3 linked regions of the Stegostoma tigrinum genome follow. The protein of the gene in region 2 binds, or shares a complex with, the protein of the main gene of each other region. Links are inferred from orthologs where the notes say so. Each region holds a gene or a part of one and is shown on either strand. Other genes may lie near its edges.

Region 1 (7,540 bases), on a different chromosome or scaffold from region 2:
GCAATAATTAAGATCGTTCAATCTCACGCTTTCATGAGTCGCATAGATATTTATTCAAAGATTAGGGTTAACTTTAAATACCATCCCATGTATAAATCCTTATGTACCTCACGACGCCAAGATTGATTGACTGATTGTTATTAGGACTTAATGACGAACAGCATTCTGAATAATCTTTTCCCCTAACCACCACAGATTCAGAGAAGAAATAATGACAGAAACAGAACTGAGTTATCTGGCCTCTAAGAGTTGGTTTGCTGGAGCTTCACACAGCCCTCAGTTTAAACCTACCTGCACTTATTGAATCACCCAAACCTATAGGCTTAATATTGGAGAAAGAGAAAGCCACTTTACCTTCACACTAGGAGGGCAAGCTTTAATAAAGTATCCACACAAGTCCACTTAGCAAAGCGCAGACATATAACATTCAAGTCTTAAAAAGGCATTGAAAGTCAGTTCCAAATGCCACAGTGAAGCATAGACTTGCGAACCATTTTAGGTTATATAGTATAGAATGACACATTACATTAAAAACATCAGAAAGTATTTTATTTCACCCATGAAAGATTTTCAAACAGGTTCATGGAGCCCAGAATACTTCAAATGGAAAAATATTTTCTACTTACTTGGATCAAATATCGAGGATCAAGGTTCAGATATGGAGACAAAGGGCTCATTCCAGTTACTGAAAACGGCAAAGGTAAAGGTTAGCTCCAATAATATCCCTTGTCATTTTTGTATCTTACAGTACCACTCTACATATTAGTTTTTTTTCTTTCCCAGTTACCCACATTCCCACTTTAGTCAGACCGTCAACAACAGATATTTACGCAAAGGGAAGTTAGGAACCGGCAGTAGTGTCACAGTTTAGAACCAATCTTGCACATTTACATAGATAATGGGAACTGCAGATGCTGGAGAATTCCAAGATAATAAAATGTGAGGCTGGATGAACACAGCAGGCCAAGCAGCATCATTTTTGCACATTTACATGGCTGGTTCAGCTAAATTTCTGGTCAATGACTCAGGATGTTGCAACTGAATATTAATGTGATTGTCTAGATTCTCTCGCTGAAGATGGCGAGAGAAGGGAAAGACTCACATGAAGGTAAAGAGGAATCGAAAAGCTTTTACAGGCTTAAAAGATTAAAAAGGAAGTGTAAATTTAATTTGGGACCAAAACAGGGGTTCAATGTATGGAGGTATCCAGTATGGATGAAGCAAAAATACTAAATGTTGGAAATCTGAAATTAAAACAGAAATTGCAGGAGAAACTCTGCAGGTTTGGCAGCATCTGTGGAGACAGGAACACAGCTAACACGTTCAATCCAATTTAACTCTTCAAAATTGAAGGTGGCTGGAAAACGATTGATTGGAGGTTACCACTAGCGACTTGGTCGATACTTATCCCACAATTAACATAATACTAAAAGGAGGATTTTTGGTTATCATGCTTTTGATTACAAGAATGTGCACACAGATGTCACTTTTCCCACATTATAACTTCCTACAGTTCAAAACTATTTAATTGGCTGCGAAGTATTCAAGACATCTGGTGGTAGTCTTATTCTCTTCCTGCATACTCTGCTTTAGTTGCATCAGCATCAGTTTAATGTTAATATTCCAATAATATTTTCTAATAATTTATGCCATTTTAATGGGTGGTTCTACCTGCTGAGATGGTGCTGCTATAATGAAAACTTTTAAACAGAAATAATCTAAAAATGGGACTTGATTTCCAATGGCAGGATTGAGATTATTTCTTTTGGCAGCTGGTTCAGTTGCAGGAATGCCCTTCGGAAGGTTAACTGTTCTTCTGCTGACTAATTCTGAATCCATGTAAATGTAAATGCAACACCCAACTGAGTCCAATCACATTTACCAATGAGGCCCAGATTCATGTCAACGTTTCAGGTATTTATCCTTCTTCAAAAGAACGGTAATACCTGAAACATTAAATTCTCCTTTCCTTCAGATGCTGCCTGGCTTGCTGTGTTCTTCCAGTCTCCTGTTTGTTTAACTTGGATTCCAGCATCTGCAATTTTTCTTTTGTCTCTAACCAGATTCAAGTCCGGTCTACTCCAGAGATGTGCAATAACATCTCTGAACAGGTAGATGAGAAAATTTCAAAAAGACTGAAGGGCCGTGGGAAAGCGGGGATCCATGATCACTGGCATTCTGGCTAGCCAACAGCAGGTGTGGGGGCACCGGACAGTTCAAGTTAGGAGGTCCGTGTGCTGACATCTCCCGGTGTACGTCGAAGCGAAGCGGAGCGGGGGGGGGGGGGGGAAGAGAAACGGGGAGAGGTACGTTATTCCACCGATCATTTAAAGGGTATCATCAGCCCCAAAATATGGTCATGGCAACGGTCTTGGAGACATCAGGAAGAGCTGGGTTCGACTACACACAACACGATGCAACTGGAATAGCTAGAAGCATGACATTTCACTCAGATTTTCTCCTGCCTAGGTACAGGTTATATTTGGTTTTTAAAAAAGGACAAGGGATGAGAAACGGGAGGACTTGAACCTTAACAGGGACATCAAATGAAAATCCCAGAGTGTGGTTATTAAATCCTCATGTTGCGTAATAACAACTCGTGGTACTTTATCAAATCCAAATACAGCTCCCAGCTTTCCCCATTACAATCTACCATAGACCCTGAGAAAACTGTACGAGGGGTTGGTTATACGAACTAAGAGCATTCGGCCAGAGTTAGGCTAAACCAGGCGCTGACACTAGTGAAGATGCGGCCTACTGTCCCAGGCTTCGCTCTCTTACTCACAGGGAACACGGGAAAGGTCGGGCTGAGAATAATCTGGCACCGAGGAGCCAGCGCCACCGCCGCCGCTGAAAAGGCCGAACCCAGCCCGTAAGCCTCCCCCAGTCCCCGAGTTGTCCATTTCCGTCCTTCTGAGGGGGATCGAATTTAAAAACGATCCGTCCGTCACCTCGACCGATTCCAGACTCACCGACCACGGGAAACCATAGCGACCGCGCGACACTTTACAGTAGTATGACCTCCTCACTTTACGGCCCGGTTCCTTCATCACGTGCTGGTCACGTTGCTGCCGCCATGATGATGAGGACACGGGTCACGTGGTGCTTGGGAGCGACGTTTATAATTTACCCTCAAAAAAAAGGGACAAAGGTGCTTGTCATTCCTGTTCATTCTCTTTCGGTCGTCAGAGAACTTCATCCTAGATTTCAGACTTGTACTATGACAAACCCATTCCGGTCAGGGGCAAAATTCCCAAAACCAGCCGAGTGAAGATGGGCACTGCCCCCTGGGCACTGACCCTGGTCACCGTCTCTGGACACTGACTCTGTTGACTGTCTCCAGGCACCACCCCCTGGGTACTGTCCCTGTTTACCGTCTCCGGCCACTGCCCACGGGGTACTGACCCTGTTCATCATCTCTGGGCACTGCCTGCTGGTCACTGTTTCTGTTCACCGTCTCTGGACACTGTCACTGGACACCGCCTGCTGGACACTGTCACTGTTCACCGTCTCTGGACACTGTCACTGTTCACCGTCTCTGGACACTGTCACTGTTCACCGTCTCTGGGCACTGCCCCCTGGGCACTGACTCTGTTCACTGTCTCCGGGCACCACCCCCTGGGCACTATCTCTGTTCACTGTCTCCAGGCACTGCCCCCTGGGCACTGTCCCTGTTCACTGTCTCGGGGCACTGCCCCTGGGCACTGTCTCTGTTCACCATCTCTGGACACTGCCCGCTGGATATTGTCTCTGTTCACCATCTCCAGGCACTGCCCGCTGTGTACTGTCACTGTTTACTGTCTCCGGCCACTGCCCATGGGGTACTGACCCTGTTCATCAACTCTGGGCACTGCCCACTGGGCACTGTCTCTGTTCACTGTCTCTGGGCACTGCCTCTGTTCATTGTCTCTGGGCACTACCTCTGTTCACCGTCTCTGGGCACCGCCTGCTGGGCACTGTCTCTGTTCACCGTCTCTGGACACTGTCTCTGTTCACCGTCTCCGGGCACTGCCCGCTGCGCACTGTCCCTCTTTACTGTCTCCAGGCACTGCCCACTGGGCACTGTGTCTGTTCACCGTCTCCGGGTACTGCCTCTGCTCAGCATCTCTGGGCACTGCCACAGTTCACCATCTCTGGGCACTGTCTCTGTTCACTGTCTCAGGGCACTGCCCACTGGGCATTGTGTCTGTTCACCGTCTCCGGGCACTGCCTCTGTTCACCGTCTCTGGGCACCGACTCTGTTCACTGTCTTCGGGCACCACCCACTGGGCACTGACTCTGTTCACTGTCTCCGGGCACCACCCCCTGGGCACTATCTCTGTTCACTGTCTTTGGGCACTGCCCCCTGGGCACTGTCCCTGTTCACTGTCTCGGGGCACTGCCCCTGGGCACTGTCTCTGTTCACCATCTCCGGACACTGCCCGCTGGGTACTGTCTCTGTTCACCGTCTCTGGGCACTGTCTCTGTTCACCATCTCTGGGCACTGCCCCCTGGGCACTGACTCTGTTCACTGTCTCCGGGCACCACCCCCTGGACACTATCTCTGTTCACCATCTCTGGGCACTGCCCACTGGTCACTGTTTCTGTTCACCGCCTCCGGGCACTGCCTGCTGGACACTGTCTCTGTTCACCGTCTCTGGACACTGCCTGCTGGGCAATGTCTCTGTTCATCATCTCCGGATACTGCCCGCTCGGCACTGTCCCTGTTCACCGTCTCCAGGCACTGTCCCTGTTCACTGTCTCTGGGCACTGCCCGCTGGGCACTGTCTCTGTTCACTGTCTCCGGACACTGCCCGCTGGGCACTGTCTCTGGACACTGCTGCTGGATGAAGTCTCTGGACACTGCCCACTGGTCACTGTCTCTGTTCACCGTCTCCGGCCACTGCCCGCTCGGCACTCCTCTCTTCACCGTCTCTGGGCACTGCCCGCTGGGCACTTTCTCTGTTCACTGTCTCTGGACACTGCCTGCTGGGCACTGTCCCTGTTCACCATCTCCGAGCACTACCCGCTGGGTACTGTCTCTGTTCACCGACTCTGGACACTGCCCGCTGAGCACTGTCTCTGGACACTGCTGCTGGATGAAGTTTCTGGATACTGCCCACTGGTCACTGTCTCTGTTCGCCGTCTCTGGGCACTGTCCCTGTTCACCGTCTCTGGGCACTGCCCGTTGGGCACTGTCTCTGTTCACTGTCTCCGGACACTGCCCGCTGGGCACTGTCTCTGGACACTGCTGCTGGATGAAGTTTCTGGACACTGCCCACTGGTCACTGTCTCTGTTCGCCGTCTCTGGGCACTGCCTCTGTTCACCATCTCTGGGCACCGCCTGCTGGACACTGTCACTGTTCACCGTCTCTGGACACTGTCTCTGTTCACCGTCTCTGGGCACTGCCCCCTGGGCACTGACTCTGTTCACTGTCTCCGGGCACCACCCCCTGGGCACTATCTCTGTTCACTGTCTCCAGGCACTGCCCCCGGGCACTGTCTCTGTTCACCATCTCTGGACACTGCCCGCTGGGTACTGTCTCTGTTCACCATCTCCAGGCACTGCCCGCTGGGTACTGTCCCTGTTTACCGTCTCCGGCCACTGCCCACGGGGTACTGACCCTGTTCATCATCTCTGGGCACTGCCTGCCAGGCACTGTCTCTGTTCACCGTCTCCAGGCACTGTCCCTGTTCACCGTCTCTGGGCACTGCCCGCTGGACACTGTCTCTGTTCACCGTCTCTGGACACTGTCTCTGTTCACCGTCTCTGGGCACTGCCCCCTGGGCACTGACTCTGTTCACTGTCTCCGGGCACCACCCCCTGGGCACTATCTCTGTTCACTGTCTCCAGGCACTGCCCCCTGCGCACTGTCCCTGTTCACTGTCTCGGGGCACTGCCCCTGGGCACTGTCTCTGTTCACCATCTCTGGACACTGCCCGCTGGGTACTGTCCCTGTTTACCGTCTCCGGCCACTGCCCACGGGGTACTGACCCTGTTCATCATCTCTGGGCACTGCCCACTGGGCACTGTCTCTGGGCACTGCCTCTGTTCAGCGTTTCTGGACACTGTCTCTCTTCACCGTCTCTGGGCACCGCCCGCTGGGCACTGTCTCTGTTCACCATCTCCGGGCACTGCCCGCTGCGCACTGTGTCTGTTCACCGTCTCCGGGTACTGCCTCTGCTCAGCATCCCTGGGCACTGCCTCAGTTCACCGTCTCTGGGCACTGCCTCAGTTCACCGTCTCTGGGCACTGCCCGCTGGGCACTGACTCTGTTCACTGTCTTCGGGCACCACCCCCTGGGCACTGCCTCTGTTCACCGTCTCTGGGCACTGCCCCCTGGGCACTGCCTCTGTTCACCGTCTCTGGGCACTGCCCCCTGGGCACTGTCCCTGTTCACTGTCTCGGGGCACTGCCCCTGGGCACTGTCTCTGTTCACCGTCTCCGGGCACTGCCCCCTGGGCACTGTCCCTGTTCACTGTCTTCGGGCACCACCCCCTGGGCACTGACTCTGTTCACTGTCTCCGGGCACCACCCCCTGGGCACTATCTCTGTTCACTGTCTCTGGGCACTGCCCCCTGGGCACTGTCCCTGTTCACTGTCTCGGGGCACTGCCCCTGGGCACTGTCTCTGTTCACCATCTCTGGGCACTGCCCACTGGTCACTGTTTCTGTTCACCGTCTCTGGACACTGCCCGCCAGGCACTGCCTCAGTTCACCGTCTCTGGGCACTGTCTCTCTTCACCATCTCTGGGCACCGCCCGCTGGACACTGTCTCTGTTCACTGTCTCTGGGTACTGCCCGCTGGACACTGTCTCTGTTCACTGACTCTGTTCACTGCCCCCGGGCACTGTCTCTGTTCACCATCTCTGGACACTGCCCGCCGGGCACTGTCCCTGTTCACTGTCTCTGGCCACTGCCCGCTGCGCACTGTCTCTGTTCTCCGTCCCCGGACACTGCCCGCTGGGTATTGTCTCTGTTCACCGTCTCTGGGCACTGCCCGCAGGGCACTGTCTCTGTTCACCGTCTCTGTTCACTGCCCGCTGGACACTGTCTCTGTTCACCGTCTCCGGGCACTGCCCGCTGAGCACTGTCTGTGTTCACCGTCTCCAGGCACTGTCCCTGTTCACCGTCTCTGGCCACTGCCCGCTGGGTACTGTCTCTGTTCACCATCTCTGGGCACTGCCCGCTGGGCACTGTCACTGTTCACCGTCTCTGGACACTGTCTCTGTTCACCGTCTCTGGCCACTGCCCGCTGGGCACTGTCTCTGTTCATCGTCCCCGGACACTGCCTGCTGTGCACTGTCTCTGTTCACTGTCTCCAGGCACTACCCGCCAGGCAATGTCTCTGTTTACTCTCTCTGGGCACTGCCTGCTGGACACTGTATCTGTTCACCATCTGTGTCTACTCTTTTCAGAATCTGCCTACTATCCACTATCTCTGGAACTAAAATGAAGTTGGTGGAAAAGCTCAGCAGGTCTGGCAGCATCTGTGGAGGCGAAAACTGAGTTAACATTTCGGGCCCGGTGACACTTCCTCAGAACTATCTCTGGATACTGA
Region 2 (7,804 bases):
GTGATTGAGCCTCCATCCCGTGGAAAAAGCCTCATATTTTCCATTCTATCCATGCTATTCACAATCTTATAAACCTCTCTTAGGTCGCCCCGCAACCCTCCTGCGTTCCAGCAAAAACAAACCCAGTATAGTCAGCCTTTCTTAATTAAAATTACACCAAACTAGGCAACATCCTGGTAAACCTTTTCTGTGCCCTCTCCAAACATCCACATTCATCTGGTAGTGTGGTGACCAGAACTGTTCACAATATTCCAAGTGTGGTCCGACTAAAGTTCTGTAAAGTTGCAGCGTAACCTGTCTGTCCTTATACTTAAAACCCCTTCCAATAAAGGCAAGAATGCCAAAGCCTTTTTTACGACCTTATCAACCTGTACCGCCACCTTCAGTGATCTGTGGACCTGCAGATCTGTCTGCAATTCAATACTCCTAGGGGTTGTGCTATTCACTGTATAATTTCCACCTATACTTGACCTTCCAAAATGTATCACCTCACATTTGTCCAGATTAAAGTCCAGCTGCCATTTTTCTGCCCATGCCTCCAACTTATCTATATTCTACTGTATCCTCTGACAGTCCTCATTGTCCACAAATCTACCAATCTATGTATCATCCGCAAACCTACAAATTGGACCAGCCACGTTTTCCTCCAAATCATTTTGGGGCAGCATGGTGCCACAGTAGGTAGCACTGCTGTCTCACAGTGCCACAGTTCCAAGTTTGATTCCAGCCTTGGGTGACTGTCTGTGTGGAGTTTGCATATTCTCCCAGTGTCTGCATGGGTTTCCTCCGGATACTCTGGTTTCCTCCCACAGTCCAAAGATGTGCAGGTTAGGTGGTTTGGCCATGCGATATTGCCCGTAGTGTTCAGGGAAGTGTAGATTAGGTGGATTATAGGGTAATGGGTCTGGGTGGGATGCTCTGAGGTTTGGTGTGGATTTGTTGGGCCAAAGGGCCTGTTTTCACACTGTAGGGATTCTATGATTTTGGTCAATCTCAAACAGAAGAGGTCCCAGCACTGATACTGCACAACCCTCCATTCCAAAAAGCATCCTTCCACTGCTACCCTGTGTTTCCTATGACTAAGCCAATTCTGTATCAGTCTTACCAGTTCACCCTGATACGGTGTAACATTTTTTTTTTAAACCTTATCAAAGGCTTTGCTGAAGTCCATGTAGACAACATCAACAGCTTTTCCTTCATCAGAGATAATGTGAACTGCAGATGCTGGAGAATCCAAGATAACAAAGTGTGAAGCTGGATGAACACAGCAGGCCAAGCAGCATCTCAGGAGCACAAAAGCTGACGTTTCGGGCCTAGACCCTTCATCAGAGAGGGGGATGGGGAGAGGGTTCTGAAATAAATAGGGAGAGATGGGAAAGCGGACTGAAGATGAATAGAGGAGAAGATAGGCGGAGAGGAGAGTATAGGTGGGGAGAGGATAGGTCAGTCCAGGAGGACAGACAGGTCAAGGAGGCGGGAAGAGGTTGGTAGGTGGGAAATGGAGGTGCGGCTTGAAGTGGGAGGACGGGATAGGTGAGAGGAGGAACAGGTTAGGGAGGCGGGGACGAGCTGGGTTGGTTTTGTGATGCAGTGGGGGGAGGGAATGAGCTGGGCTGGTTTTGGGATGCAGTGGGGGAGGGGGAGATTTCGAAGCTTGTGAAGTCCACATTGATACCATTGGGCTGCAGGGTTCCCAAGCGGAATATGAGTTGCTGTTCCTGCAACCTTCGGGTGGCATCATTGTGGCACTGCAGGAGGCCCATGATAGACATGTCGTCTAAGGAATGGGAGGGGGAGTTAAAATCGTTCACGACTGGGAGGTGCAGTTGTTTATATTGTGAACCGAGCAGAGGTGTTCTGCAAAGCGGTCCCCAAGCTTCCGCTTGGTTTCCCCAATGTAGAGGAAGCCACACTGGGTATAATGGATACAGTATATACTACATTAGCAGATGTGCAGGCTTCCTAAACAACCACAGGAAGTGCTACACTTGCCCCCAGACCTCCTCCCTCACCCCCACCCCAGGCCCCAAGATGACTTTCCTTATTACATCTGCTTAATAAGGAAAGTCATCTTGGGGCCTGGGGTGGGGGTGAGGGAGGAGGTCTGGGGGCAAGTGTAGCACTTCCTGTGGTTGTTTAGGAAGGTGCCGGTTGTGGTGGGGTTGGAGGGGAGTGTGGAGCGGACAAGGGAGTCACGGAGAGAGTGGTCTCTCTGGAAGGCAGACAAGGGTGGGGATGGAAAAATGTCTTGGGTGGTGGGGTCAGATTGTAGATGGCAGAAGTGTTGGAGGATGATGCGTTGTATCCGGAGGTTGGTGGGGTGGTATGTGAGGTCGCGGGGGATTCTCTTAGGGCGATTATGGCGGGGGCGGGGTGTGAGGGATGTGTTGCGGGAGACACGGTCAAGGGTGTTCTCGACCACTGCAGGGGGGACATTGTGGTCCTTGAAGAATGCTGCCATCTGGGATGTGCGGGAGTGGAATGCCTCATCCTGGGAGCAGATGCGGCGGAGGCGAAGGAATTGGGAATAGGGTGCTGGAATTTTTGCAGGGGGGTGGGTGGGAGGATGTGTATTCTAGGTAGCTGTGGGAGTCGGTGGGCTTGAAGTGGACATCAGTTTCTAGCTGGTTGCCTGAGATGGAGGCAGAGGGGTCCCGGAAGGTGAGGGATGTTTTGGCCAAAGATATCTGTCAGTGCTCCAGCAATTTGTTCTCTTGCCTCTCTCAATATTCTAGGATAGATCCCATCAGGACCCAGGGACTTATCTACCTGAATACTTTTTAAGACGCACAACACCTCTCTCTTTTTAATAGCAACTTTGTTTAGAAACTCAACACTGCCTTCCCTGAGATTATCCTGAACCAATTCTTTCTCTTTGGTGAATACTGACACAAAGTATTCATTTAGGTCCTCATCTACTTCTTCAGGCTTCACAGATAGATTCTCTCCCTTGTCCTTGAGTGGGCCAAACCTTTCCCTGGGTACCTTGTTGCTTTCATAGATGTATGAAAAATTTTGGGATTCTCCTTAATCCTGTTTGCTAACAACTTTTCATGACCCCTTTTAGCCCTTATAATTCCTTATTTAAGTTCTCTACTACTTTTCATATGTACTTCAAGGGCTTCATGAGTGCCCATCCACCTAGATCATACGTATGCTTCCTTTTTCTTTCTGACCAAGATAATAACATCCCTGGTCATCCAAGGTTCACATAACTTTCTTTATTCTTTCAGGAAATGAGGGCATCGCTGGCTTGGCAGTATTTATTGCCCAGAGAGCAGTTAAGAGCCAACCACACTGCTGTGAATCTGGAGTCACATAGGCCAGACCAGGTGAGGATGGCAGATTTCCTTCCCTGAAAGACATCAGTGAACTAGATGGAATTTCCCTAACAATCAACAATGGATTCAGTCATCATGAGATGTTTAATTCCAGATATTTATTGAATTCAAGGTCCCCTGAACGTTATCTGGGTCTCTGGATTAACAGTCCAGTGATAATACCACTAGGCCATTGCCTCCCCTATGGCCATTGCCATAGCTATATGTCATTCGCGCAGGAATGTGCTTCTCCTGAACTCTTATCAACTGCCATTTAAAATATTCCCAAATGTCGATGTAGATTTACCCTCAAACAGCTACCTCCAATCCAAATTCACCAGTTCCCGCCTAATACTGTTGTAGTTCGCCTTCCCCCAATTTAACACTATAAGACATAGGAACAGAAATTAGGCCATTCAGCCCATCTAGTCTGCTCAAACATTCAATCATGGCTGATAAGTTTCTCAACCCCATTCTCCCACTTCCTCCCCATAACTATTGATCCCCCCAACAGTCAAGAACCGATCTATCTCAGTCTTAAAGAAACTCAATGACCTGACCTCCACAGCCTTCTGAGGCAGTGCATTCCATAGATTCACCACTCTCTGGCTGAAGAAGTTTCTCGTTACCTCCATTCTAAAACCTCTTCCCTTTACTCTAAGGCTGTGCCCTCAGATCCTGGTCTCTCCTACTGATGGAAACATCGTCCCAACATCCACTCTGACCAGACTTTTCAGTATTCTGTAAGTTTCAATTAGATCCCCCTGCACCCTTCTAATCTCCGTCAAGTATAGACCCAGAGTCGTCAACCATTCCTTCAATATACTTTTCATTCTTTCACACGGGAAAGCTGTTATCCCCATCCACGAGTAACCTTTGGCCACCTGATGTGGAGGGAGAGGGGCAAATTAAAGGATCATTTGAGACCTGGGCCTGGTCCAAATGGCCATCAAAAGTCCAGACAGCACACTGTCAAGAGGGTTATTAGCTCAAATGCCTGTTTCTATCTAGAGGTAAGTATCTGTCATGATGAAAGGTCCACAAAAGGTCATATGGTCTATTCCTGCTCCCAGTTATTACTTCTTATTTACTGCCACCAAGTCCACACCACTAGATGTGTCCACAAGTGCAACTGAGATCTTCCACAACCACTGGAAGGGCAACAATTGATGGCCAATATTAGGAATTCCATGACGTTATTGCCTTGTATTTCTGTGCACTTTTACGAATTTGGTTTTGGATAGCAACATTGAACATCTAATTGGTGTGTATTATAATGAGTTGGGATTGCATTATGTTTAAGAAATTGGTCTGTGCCTTAGAAGGGTTAACGACTTGAAACAGACATCCTCTATTTCAGTAGCAGATATGTGCCCCGCTGCAACAACTGAAACAACCAATGAAAAAGGTAGGCGGAAATCGGGGGAAAGCAGTATGGATTTTGTAGTTTTTGTCGAATCGTGTTCTTGCAACCAATAAGCAGGCGGAACTACATGTCCCACCGATCTATTCAGACGCTGATCCAATGGAAGAATGACAGCGAGGTAGAAAGTATAGTTTCTACAATAGAAAAGAGAAACAAATGGCTAATGTTTACTTTTTGCGAGCGGTGTGCACACACAGAAGAAGGCTGGTGTTCCAGTACAAAACCCAATTCTCGCTACACTGTTCCGCACGACCCCAAATCTGTAACTCGTTTCGTGAGAGGCCTGGAATTGTAGGAGTCACTACTTGTCCGCTGCAAAAGCAGCACTCACTTTACTTCGTTAGCACGGTTCCCTGGCGGTGCATTTTCACAGAGACTAAATTGAGAAATCCAGCTCCGGGGAAGAAGCAAGAAAACAAAGTATCATTGAGAAAGAGTACCCCGCCCGCATCAACAACTCAGAAAGGTAAAATTGTTCCAAATTGTCCCTTCGAACTAACACCCTGTAATCTGAGTATTTAACACTGCTGTCCGAGATCAAGGTCTGTACAAAACTAAGTTATTCCACTTCCTTACCTTAGCCTCCACAGTTAGCTCAGAATTCAAAGTTAAAACCAATTAGAAGAGGAGTGCAATGAGTGATATCGGGAAAAAAAAGTCTGACATAGACGTACCAAAATTCAAAGAACTTGAATTTGTTTAGCACCTTCTTATTGTCAACTATCCCACAGTGTTCCAGGTGGTTCATTGGAGTTTACCAGACAAAGTAAAAAGTTGCCCATATGTTGGCAGCAACAGTGAGACAAATCCAGCCTGATCAGTTATAATTCTTGTCAGCCTAGCTTCAATCATCAGGTTAAAATGTGCTATTAAGTGACACTTGTACTGCAAAACGTGCTCATTTTGTGTTCCACTGGGGCCACTTGTTCCTGGACCTCATTGCAGCCTTGGCCCAAAAGTGGACGAAAGAGCTGAATTCCAGGATTGAAGGTGGAAGTGGCTGCTACTGACATAGATACAGCTGAAGTTGTGACACTGAGGAGCTATTAGAAAAAATGATGCCAATGGGAATCAGGGAGAAAACTCTTCACTAACTGGAGACTTATCAAGTACAGAGAAAGGAGATTGTTGGAAGCCAGTTATTTCAGCAGTAGGAGCTCTTCAGGTCAGTGAGAAAAATCCAACTATCTTCAGCAGCTCCATCCATTTTAGGGTCAGAATATTTGACAATTATTTTGTTTTCTGGTCCTCTCGCAATTATTCAAACAATGAAGTCATCTGTGCTTTCATGCAGTTAGTCAGGTAACATCCAAGTTTGGATTGAAAAGTGTCAAGAAAAAGTTGTGAACAGAAATGCCCATCCCCAAAAAATGGATCTAACAACATCCACTTCACATTCATTGGTATTTCCATCGACCTACCCCTCATGATCAATATCATGGGTGTAGAGTTTATCATTGACCAAAATGTGAGACCAACATAATGAATTCTGTAATTACAATACTATTTGAAGGTATGATGACTGTAGTGATTACACATTTTCTAATTTGTTAAATTCTATCCATCAAGCCAAAATCTAATGCACTGCACTCACCTTACTGTGATAGTACAGAGATAATGGGAACTGCAGATGCTGGAGATTCCAAGATAAGATTCCAAGATTCCAAGTCTAGGCCCGAAACGTCAGCTTTTGTGCTCCTGAGATGCTGCTTGGCCTGCTGTGTTCGTCCAGCCTCACATTTTATTATCTGTGATAGTACAGATCCCAGTTGTTACATTTTCACTGGGACTAAATTGAGAAATCCAGCTCCGGAGAAGGAACAAGACAACAAAGTATCCTTGAAAAAGTGTGCCCCATCCTCATCATGCTTGCATGCAGCTCCAACTACACTCCAGACTTTACACTATCCAGGGCAAGGAAGTCCAATTGATCAATTGCTCAGACACCACTTGAAATGTCATTCATACCAGCAGGGCTGCAGTAAGTGGTATCTACCAGGTTCTGTTCAGAAACTTACCAAGATGTCTTCAACAGCATTTTGAAAGCCTTCCATCTTTACCATCTGGAAGAACAAAGGTATCTGGCAGACAGGAACACTGCCAAGTTCCCCTTCTATGTCACACAAGGCTCTGACCTATTAGCCTATCCGTCATTGTCACTCGGTTAAAGTTTTTGAACTTATCTAACAACATTGTGAGCATACCAATGCTACGTGACCTGCAGCAGCTCAAAAAAGAAATTCCCCACAAGCAAGGGTGACTAGGTAATGGGCAATAAATGCTGGCCTTTCCAGTGATGTCCACAACCTGTGAATTTTTATTTTAGATGTGCGTGAAAGAACATCAATTACAGCCCTTGCTGCAGTAGATCAATGTGAGAACCTAGTTTTAAACTGCAAAGTGCTATTTACCACAATGAGATGGTTGACTAGTTATTCCTAATGAATTTACCTAATCCCTGAACAACATGCGCCATGGGGAGAAAGTTGGAAAAATCACGAGAGATGGCCAGCAAGTTGAGGACAAAGTTCCATTTTCCAACTAAGTGTTGAATGATGAGACAAGATTCTTGCGCTTGAGTGATGAGAGGCATTTTAGTGCATATCTCCCTATTAATTATTCTATCCTCAGTATGGTGAAGTTTCCCATTCTCCTGCCTAACAGACAAAAACTAGATGTTGACAAATTTCCTGATATAAAAGCCAGAGCCGTTCCCTGGTGAATCTATCTGGCCTCTTGCCCATCTAAACATTCATCTTTGACATCTTTGGACATGCTCCATAGGCAATGCACACTCCCACCCTGACTACAGATAGAGATCTGACGTTTACCAGCGTCAGTGTATCATCTGATCCATAGCATATTTCTGCACTTCAAGCCTGTGTTTTGGAGCATGCTGGCATACTTCATCTCAATGCTGTTGCCAAAACACTCTGCGCACAAAGGGGCACCCAAGTCACAGATTGGATCAGGCTCATCAAAGGGCAATTTGCTAGCTCTCTTGGGTTAACTTGCATTGCGCTTACTTAAATGCTCGTGGAATCTCTGCCTTGCCTTA
Region 3 (7,214 bases), on a different chromosome or scaffold from region 2:
GGGCTAATGAAAAGAAACATTACTTAGTTGATATACATTATAACTTGCCATATTAGATGTTCAACTAAGGAGAAAAGCCAAAAGCAAGTTCACCATTTCCTTCTACTAACCAATTTCATGGCTGCTCTAATGATAGTTATGCAGAAATCCATAATCCTGCCCTCTGTTCGGTTCAACATAACCGCAACGTCCTGTGCTGTATTTTTAAGAAATTTTCCATAAAGTTTACTCACAATGTTACTGCAAATTGTTAACATAATTTTCCTAGTAACTTTTTCCATCAGAAAGACGTCAAAATAATTAAAATGTCTTTTGTTACTGGTTAAAGTAGTGGAACATCTTTGGCTATTGCCTTACATGTCATCAACAGTAATTTTTCAGTCCATTAAACAGCATGATTTTTCTCAATCCACAATTTAGCCAACTTCCCTTGAACTCCAAGCTATGATAGGCTCAAAGTTTACTGGTATTACAACAAAAAAAAGCAATTTTTACAGAACAATTTTCAGTAAATTTGCTCAATTACAAAGGATGTTCTGGAATTTTTAAAGATTAAGGACACTCATTTTCACAGATTACAGGAATTTGGCATAAACAGCGAGAACCTGTGAAAGCAAACATACAAAACAAAGTCTTTACAATTAACATCATTCATCAGTATTAATGGGTGGATTTCACATTGAAATTACTTCTGAAATGCAGGTGGCAAATGCAATGAGCAAATGGCATGGGAATTTTGACAAAATAACAGTGCACAAAATTCAAAACCAGGAGAAGCAGGTATACCCAAATGGAATAACAATAAGATATTTTCCAGGACTATGGGTAAAATAAAGCAAGGCTCATATTCTATTGAGTTAAGGTATGTCTGGAGAACAGAAAAGTAAAATGTCAAAAAATATTAAGGGTGCCATGCGTTGTAAGTCTAAGACTAGAAGGATGAAGCAAATGAATGTATGGCTGGCAAAGTGCTGCAGGAGGGAGGGCTTTAGATTCCCGAGGCATTGGGACTGCTTGTGGGGTGGGTGGGAACTATACCAGTTAGATGTGTTACACTGAATGTCGTTATGGAGGTTTAAATTAAATTGAAAGGAGTAAGGGGTCCCAAGTCGTAGTTTGGAGGGAAAGCGAAACAGAGATAAGTTAAAATGTTAATAAATAACACTGAAACAGAGGAAAAAGAGGCTAGATAAGAAAGAAGTCAGTTTATCAAAAGTAAACTGAATATATTTTAATGCAAGGACCCCGAGAAATAAGCTAAATGAGCTGAAGGCACTGATACGTACGTGGATGTATGGTATCCTAACTACGACTGAGACTTAGCTGACAGATGAGGAGGACTGGCAGTTCAACACTCCTGGTTAGCTCAGCTGGCTGGTTGCAATGCAGTGATACCAACGGTCAAGTACGACATTGACTGAAGTTACCAAGAGGATTCTGCTTTCTCAACTTGTTCCACGCCTAAGGCACAGTGACCTTCAGGTTAACCCCACCAGTTATCTCTTTATAATAAAACAGCATTCCTATGGTCCTCTGGGGTTATGACAACTTTAACTACAAAGGCCCCCAACAGAGGAGTATAAAACGTGCAGGGATATCTTAAGAGGGAATTAGGACAGCAAAGAGTGTGTGCGAGAAAATACCGACAGACAAAATAAAGGGAAACCCAAAGGGTTTTTTTAAGACATGAAAAGAATGCTTACAAACCATGGTGGGTAGATGGGTATGGGTATGGGCGTGTGCGTGTGCATGTGCATGTACACGTGCATGTACACAGTCCTGAACATCGTGTAGTCTTCACGATGGAAACGGATAATGCTAGTATAGATACCAGGGTGGAGGACTGTAATATATTAGAAGGGCTTTGCATATAGAGAGAAGTACTACTATAGCATTCAACAATGTAAAAAAAGTGGTCAACTCTGCAGGCCCAGATAAGATGCACTGAGCTTGTTGAGGGAAGTAAGGGAGATGTCAGAGGCTCTGCCAGTAATTTTCAAACACCTCTGGCTACTGAAATGCTGCAGGACTAACACTGTCCAAAACAAAAACAAGTTAAGCTCTCTGGACAGAGACCAGATTGTATGCTGTAACCAGGCAAACAAAGAAACTGCATGAAACTACCCCACCATCCAAAAAACCCTTTTGTTTCCACAGTCACCTAATTCATGTCTAACGATCAGTCTAAAGAAGCACAGCAAAAGGAAGGAGCCTGAGTAGCCAATAAATACATTACTCCAAAGAACCCAGTTCTGAAGAGTCCTGTCAGAGTGGAAACATCAAGTCTGTTTTTCTCTCCGCACAAATGCTGTCAGAACTGGTGCATTTCTCCAGCACTTTCTGCTTTTATTTCAGATTGACATTATTTCAGTATTTTGCTTTCATAGAGTAAAGACTTGACAGTGGCTGCATTCCTACTGACCGCACCACCACCAGCTCCCCCTTCCTCAGCGCACACACACGGTTCTTACCTCCGTAGAGGTATGAGACTCTTGTGCAGGCCCTCACAAACTCCAACAGAATCGGGACTCTTTAAATATATCTGCCTCCACAGACCAGGGCACAGGCCTCAGGACTTTCTCCTCCAGTGTCAGGCCATCCCCCCAGTTCACCTTCCTTTAAAGCTTAAAACCTTTACAACATCCCCTCAGGCCCCAATAAAGTCCCGAAAACTAACAATGCCACTACCACCCCCCCCCCTCCACCCAACAAAAAAAAAATCTCTCTTCTCCTCCTGACGGCCCATAGGCCTGGACACTCCCCATCTCGGGGACACATTCCTTCAGGAAGGTCACAGACGCCGCTGGACGGGTGGTGAGCGGGTAACGGTCATAGAAGTTTCTAGATTCCCGGTGCCAACGTTCCCCTCTCCTCTGGGCACCCGCCCGGCATCTCGCATAACCCTGAGCCTGATTAAGGGATTCTTTTCACTCTCTCAAAAGACCACCTCACCAGGGCTCGCGTGCATATTCCTCCATCTTCCTCTGTGACGTACGACCGCAGCCACTACGCGCACGCGCTGCAAAGGGCGCATGTGTAGAAAAGTATCGATTGGAGGTGATGCTTCCTGATTCATGCTCATGCTTGGAGTGTGAGCGTTAATGGTATTGCCAGTTCGAGCATTAGCGGCTCCTCTTAATTAGTTTTTGAAACCAAAGGCTAGATTTTGAAAAGTTGAAAGACGGCCGTTTTATATATAATATATATTGTTAGGAATTATTAAAGTCTGAAGGCTTTTTTAAATAGCAGCAAGCTTCTGAGATCTGAACCAACTCTTTCCAACAAGACTTCTGAATGATGCTGGAAATTTGAAACTGAATCAGAAATTGCTAGCGAAACTGGGCAGATCTGGTAGCATGTATTGAAGAGAAAGCAGTGTTGAAAGTTTGCGCCCAGTCACCCTCTTTCAGGAAATAAGAAACAAAAGAACTGCGGATGCTGTAAATAAGGAACAAAAGCAAAGTTGTTGGAAAAGCTCAGCAGGTCTGGCAGCATCTGTGGAGGAGAAAAAAAAGAGTTAACGTTTCGGGTCCGGTTCTGAGGATGGGTCACCGGACCCGAAATGTTAATTTTTTTTCCCTCCACAGATGCTGCCAGACCTGCTGAGCTTTTCCAACAACTTTGTTTTTGACCCTTTTTCAGGACACTGAACCGGAAGCATTGGCTCTGATTTCTCTCCACAGATGCTTGCCAGACTTGCTGAGTTTCTCCAACATGTTCTGTTTTTGTTTGTTTCTGAATGACAAATACTGTCCAACTTGTGTAGTTCAAAATGGAGATCTAGCATGACCAGCACGTTCATTCCCAAGAGTTGCTAGCCTCACAGCATCAGGTTCAATTACAATCTCGAGCAACTGTCTGTGTGGAATTTGTTACATTCACTCTGTGTCTGTGTGGGTTTCCTTTGGGTGCTTTGGTTTCTTCCCACAGTCAAAAGAGTGGAGTAGTAATTACTGTTTTATAAACTGTTGCATTGTTTTGAAACTTTGGCCCGTTAATAAGAAGGAAGACAGACAAAGGTAATGACCATATGGGAAGTGATTCAAATGGAGGAAGAAACCTACACTACTGTCTGACCCAGCAGTAAACTGCGTAGCTATTGCCTTTTCTGTCTTTTTTCAAGTATCTCTGAACATAGATGTTTAGATTAAAGAAAATAAACAAACAGTGAAATTCACAGCGGACCCTGGAGAAATTTGTGTGGGAGCTCACAGTGGGGGAGCAGCTAAGTGGCTTTTTAAAGTGTAAGCTTACTGTGTTTCTTTTGTAAATCTGCAATAGTGAGTAGAGTGGATGTCTTTTATTTATTATATGTTGTTTTCAAGATTTGTCTCTTGATTAAACTTTAAAAATACAAAAACATAGGTACGAAGCCAGCCTGGAGCCGTGATTTTAAAGCAGCAAGACTGTACTATTTTCTGGGTCTGTAGATTGTTAAGGTGCAAGGATGGCCTTTAGTAGAGTGATATGATCTTCCTATTGGATGTGTGAGATAAGCCAGAGTTTCCACGTTACTGATGATTATGTCTGCAGAAAGTATGTTTGGTTGTGAATCTTATTGGAGCGTATGGATTGGTTGGAGTGGCAGGTAAAGGCAATGAGGAATTTATAAGAGCTAGGGGGTGTGATGGATGGCAGTTTCGGGGAGGGAGGTAAACTGAGGATACAGTCGGGTAAATAGGTCACCTCCAGAAAGGGTAGGCGAGGGAGGCAGGTAGTGCAGGAGTCTCCTGTGGCTATCCCCTCAAACAAATATGCTGTTTTAGAAAATGTAGGCAGTGATGGACTTTCAGGAGAATGTGGCACTGACAACCAGGTTTCTTGTACTGAGACTGACTCAAATGGAATGAAGGGTATGCCACATTCCAAGCGATCGATTGTAACAGGAAAACTCTCTAGTCAGAGGCAGAGACAGATGATTCCACGGCAACAGTGATACATCAGAATGGTGTGCTAACAAGGTGTTGAGCTAGATGAACAGAGCAGGCCAGCCAGCATCAGACCAGCAGGAAAGCTGACGTGTCAGGTCTGGACCCTTCTTCAGAAAAAGGGTCCAGACCCAAAACATCAGCTTTCCTGCTCCTCTGATTCTGCTTAACCTGTTGTGTTCATCTAGCTCTAAACATAGTTATCTCAGATTCTCCAGCATTGGCAGATCCTACTATCTCAGAATGGCGTGTTGCCTCCCTGGAGCCAGGATCAAAGATATCTTGGAGAGGATGCAAAATATTCTCAAAGGGGAGACAGACTAGCAGGAGTTCATTGTACATGTTTGGAACTAATGACTTTGGAAGAGAAAAGGATGAGATTCTGAGGAGAGAATGTAGGAACTTAGACAGGAATTTATAAAGTAGGTCCTCAAAGGCAGTAATATCTGGATTACTCCCAGTGCCATGAGGTAGTGAGGGTAGAAATAGGAGGAAAGAACAGATGAATGTGTGGCTGAGGAGTTGGTGCAGAGGAGAAAAAGTCACAATTTTGGATCGTTGGAATTTCTTCTGGGGTGGAAGTGATCTGCAAAAGAAGGACAGATTGCACCTGAATTGGATGCAGACTAATATACTGGCAGGGAGATTTGTTACAGCTGCTGGGGAGGATTTAAATTAATAAGGGTAGTGGTTAGGAACCAGGGACATAGAGAGGAAAGTGATCAGCCTGAGTCTGGTACAGTTGGGAGAAAGAGTAAGTCAAACAGACAAGGCAGACAGGAACAAAGTAGAGAACCAGGTAGGACTAATAAATTAAATTGCAATTATTTCAATTCAAGAAGGCTAACAAGTAAAGCAGATAAACATAGGGCATAGTTAGGAACTGGGATTGGGATATTAAAGCAATTATGGAGATGTTGCTCAGGGGTGGACTGGACTGAGAGCTTAATGTTCCAGGGTATAGTTGTTACACAATGGATTGAAAGTGGGGCAAGAGGGAAGGGGCTGTGGCATTTTTGATTAGGAATCACATTACAGGATTAAGTGTATTTAGGGAGCATGTTCCTGGGAATACATCTGGGGAGTTATTTAGGTAGAACTCAGAAATTAAAAAGGGATGATCACCTTATTGGAATAGTACTATAGACCCCCACCAATAGTCAGTGGGAAATTGAGAAACAACATGTAAGGAGTTCTCAGTTACCTGTAAGAATAACAGGGTGATATGGGAGGGGATTTTAACGTTCCAAACTTAGACAAGGTCTGCCATAGTGTTAAGGGCTTGGATGGAGAGGAATTTTTTAAGCGCGTGGAAGACAATTTTCTGACTCAGCATGTGGATGTGCCTGCTAGAGAAAGGGTAAAACTTAACCTACTCTTGGGAAATAAAGCAGTGCAGGTGGCTGAGGTGTCAGTGGGGGAGCACTTTGGAGCCAGTGGCCATAATTCTATTAGTTTTCAATAGTGATGGAAAAGAATGGACCGGATCTAAAAGCTAAAGTTTTAAATTGGAAGAAGGTTAATTTCAACAGTATTAGGCAAGAAATTTCAAAAGTTGATGGGGGCAGATGTTCGTAGTTAAGGGAATGGCTGAAAAATGGAAAGCATTCAGAAATGAGATAATGAGAGTCCAAAGACAGTATGTTCTTGTTACGGTGAAGATCAAGGCTGGTAGCTGTAGGGAATGCTAGGTGATGAGAGAAATTGAGATTTTGGTTAAGATTAAGAAGGAAGAGTATGTCACGTATAGACAGCAGAAATTGAGTGATTCCCTGAAAGAATGCAAAGGCAGTAGCGGTATACTTAAGAGGGAATCAGGAGGGCAGAAAGGGGACTAAGATCACTTTGGCACATAGGGATAAGGAGAGTCCAAAGGGATTCTACAAATACGTTAAAGACAAAAGGGCAATGAGGAAGAGAACAGGACTTCTTAAAGATAATCAAAGCCACCGATGTGTGGAACCACAGGAGCTGGGGGAGATATTAAATGAGTATTTTGCATCAGTGTTTGTAGTGGAGAAGGATATGGATGATAGAGAATGTGTAGCTAGGGTAGGCAGTTAGGTCTATTTGGAATGTTCTTTGGAGGATTGGTAAAGCCTCAATGACCTGAATAGCCTCTTTCAGCACTGTAAGGATTCTATAATATTTTGTGCATTACTCTATAATATTCCTCTCTAAAATTAACTGACCAAAAAAAAACTTCAGATGAGGTCTGATTCAATGCCTTCGAAAATAACACAGCAGCTGCTTGAATTGGAATTACGCTATATTCCTTTGTCAAAG

The links.
Region 1: timm21 (region 2) and timm23a share a complex: the UniProt entries of both Homo sapiens proteins name them as parts of the TIM23 complex. The link is inferred for Stegostoma tigrinum from reciprocal best matches to the Homo sapiens genes TIMM21 and TIMM23.
Region 3: timm21 (region 2) and timm17a share a complex: the UniProt entries of both Homo sapiens proteins name them as parts of the TIM23 complex. The link is inferred for Stegostoma tigrinum from reciprocal best matches to the Homo sapiens genes TIMM21 and TIMM17A.

The regions. Positions count from the first base shown.
Region 1 is NC_081390.1:6,218,505-6,226,044, reverse strand, and holds the start of timm23a (mitochondrial import inner membrane translocase subunit Tim23), read right to left. Parts: upstream 3,022-7,540; 5' UTR 2,904-3,021; coding exon 2,786-2,903; intron 686-2,785; coding exon 627-685; intron 1-626. UniProt on the Homo sapiens protein: Essential component of the TIM23 complex, a complex that mediates the translocation of transit peptide-containing proteins across the mitochondrial inner membrane.
Region 2 is NC_081358.1:59,525,418-59,533,221, forward strand, and holds the start of timm21 (mitochondrial import inner membrane translocase subunit Tim21-like), read left to right. Parts: upstream 1-4,803; 5' UTR 4,804-4,902; coding exon 4,903-5,212; intron 5,213-7,804. UniProt on the Homo sapiens protein: Participates in the translocation of transit peptide-containing proteins across the mitochondrial inner membrane.
Region 3 is NC_081374.1:27,524,135-27,531,348, forward strand, and holds the start of timm17a (mitochondrial import inner membrane translocase subunit Tim17-A), read right to left. Parts: upstream 3,022-7,214; 5' UTR 2,979-3,021; coding exon 2,953-2,978; intron 4-2,952; coding exon 1-3. UniProt on the Homo sapiens protein: Essential component of the TIM23 complex, a complex that mediates the translocation of transit peptide-containing proteins across the mitochondrial inner membrane.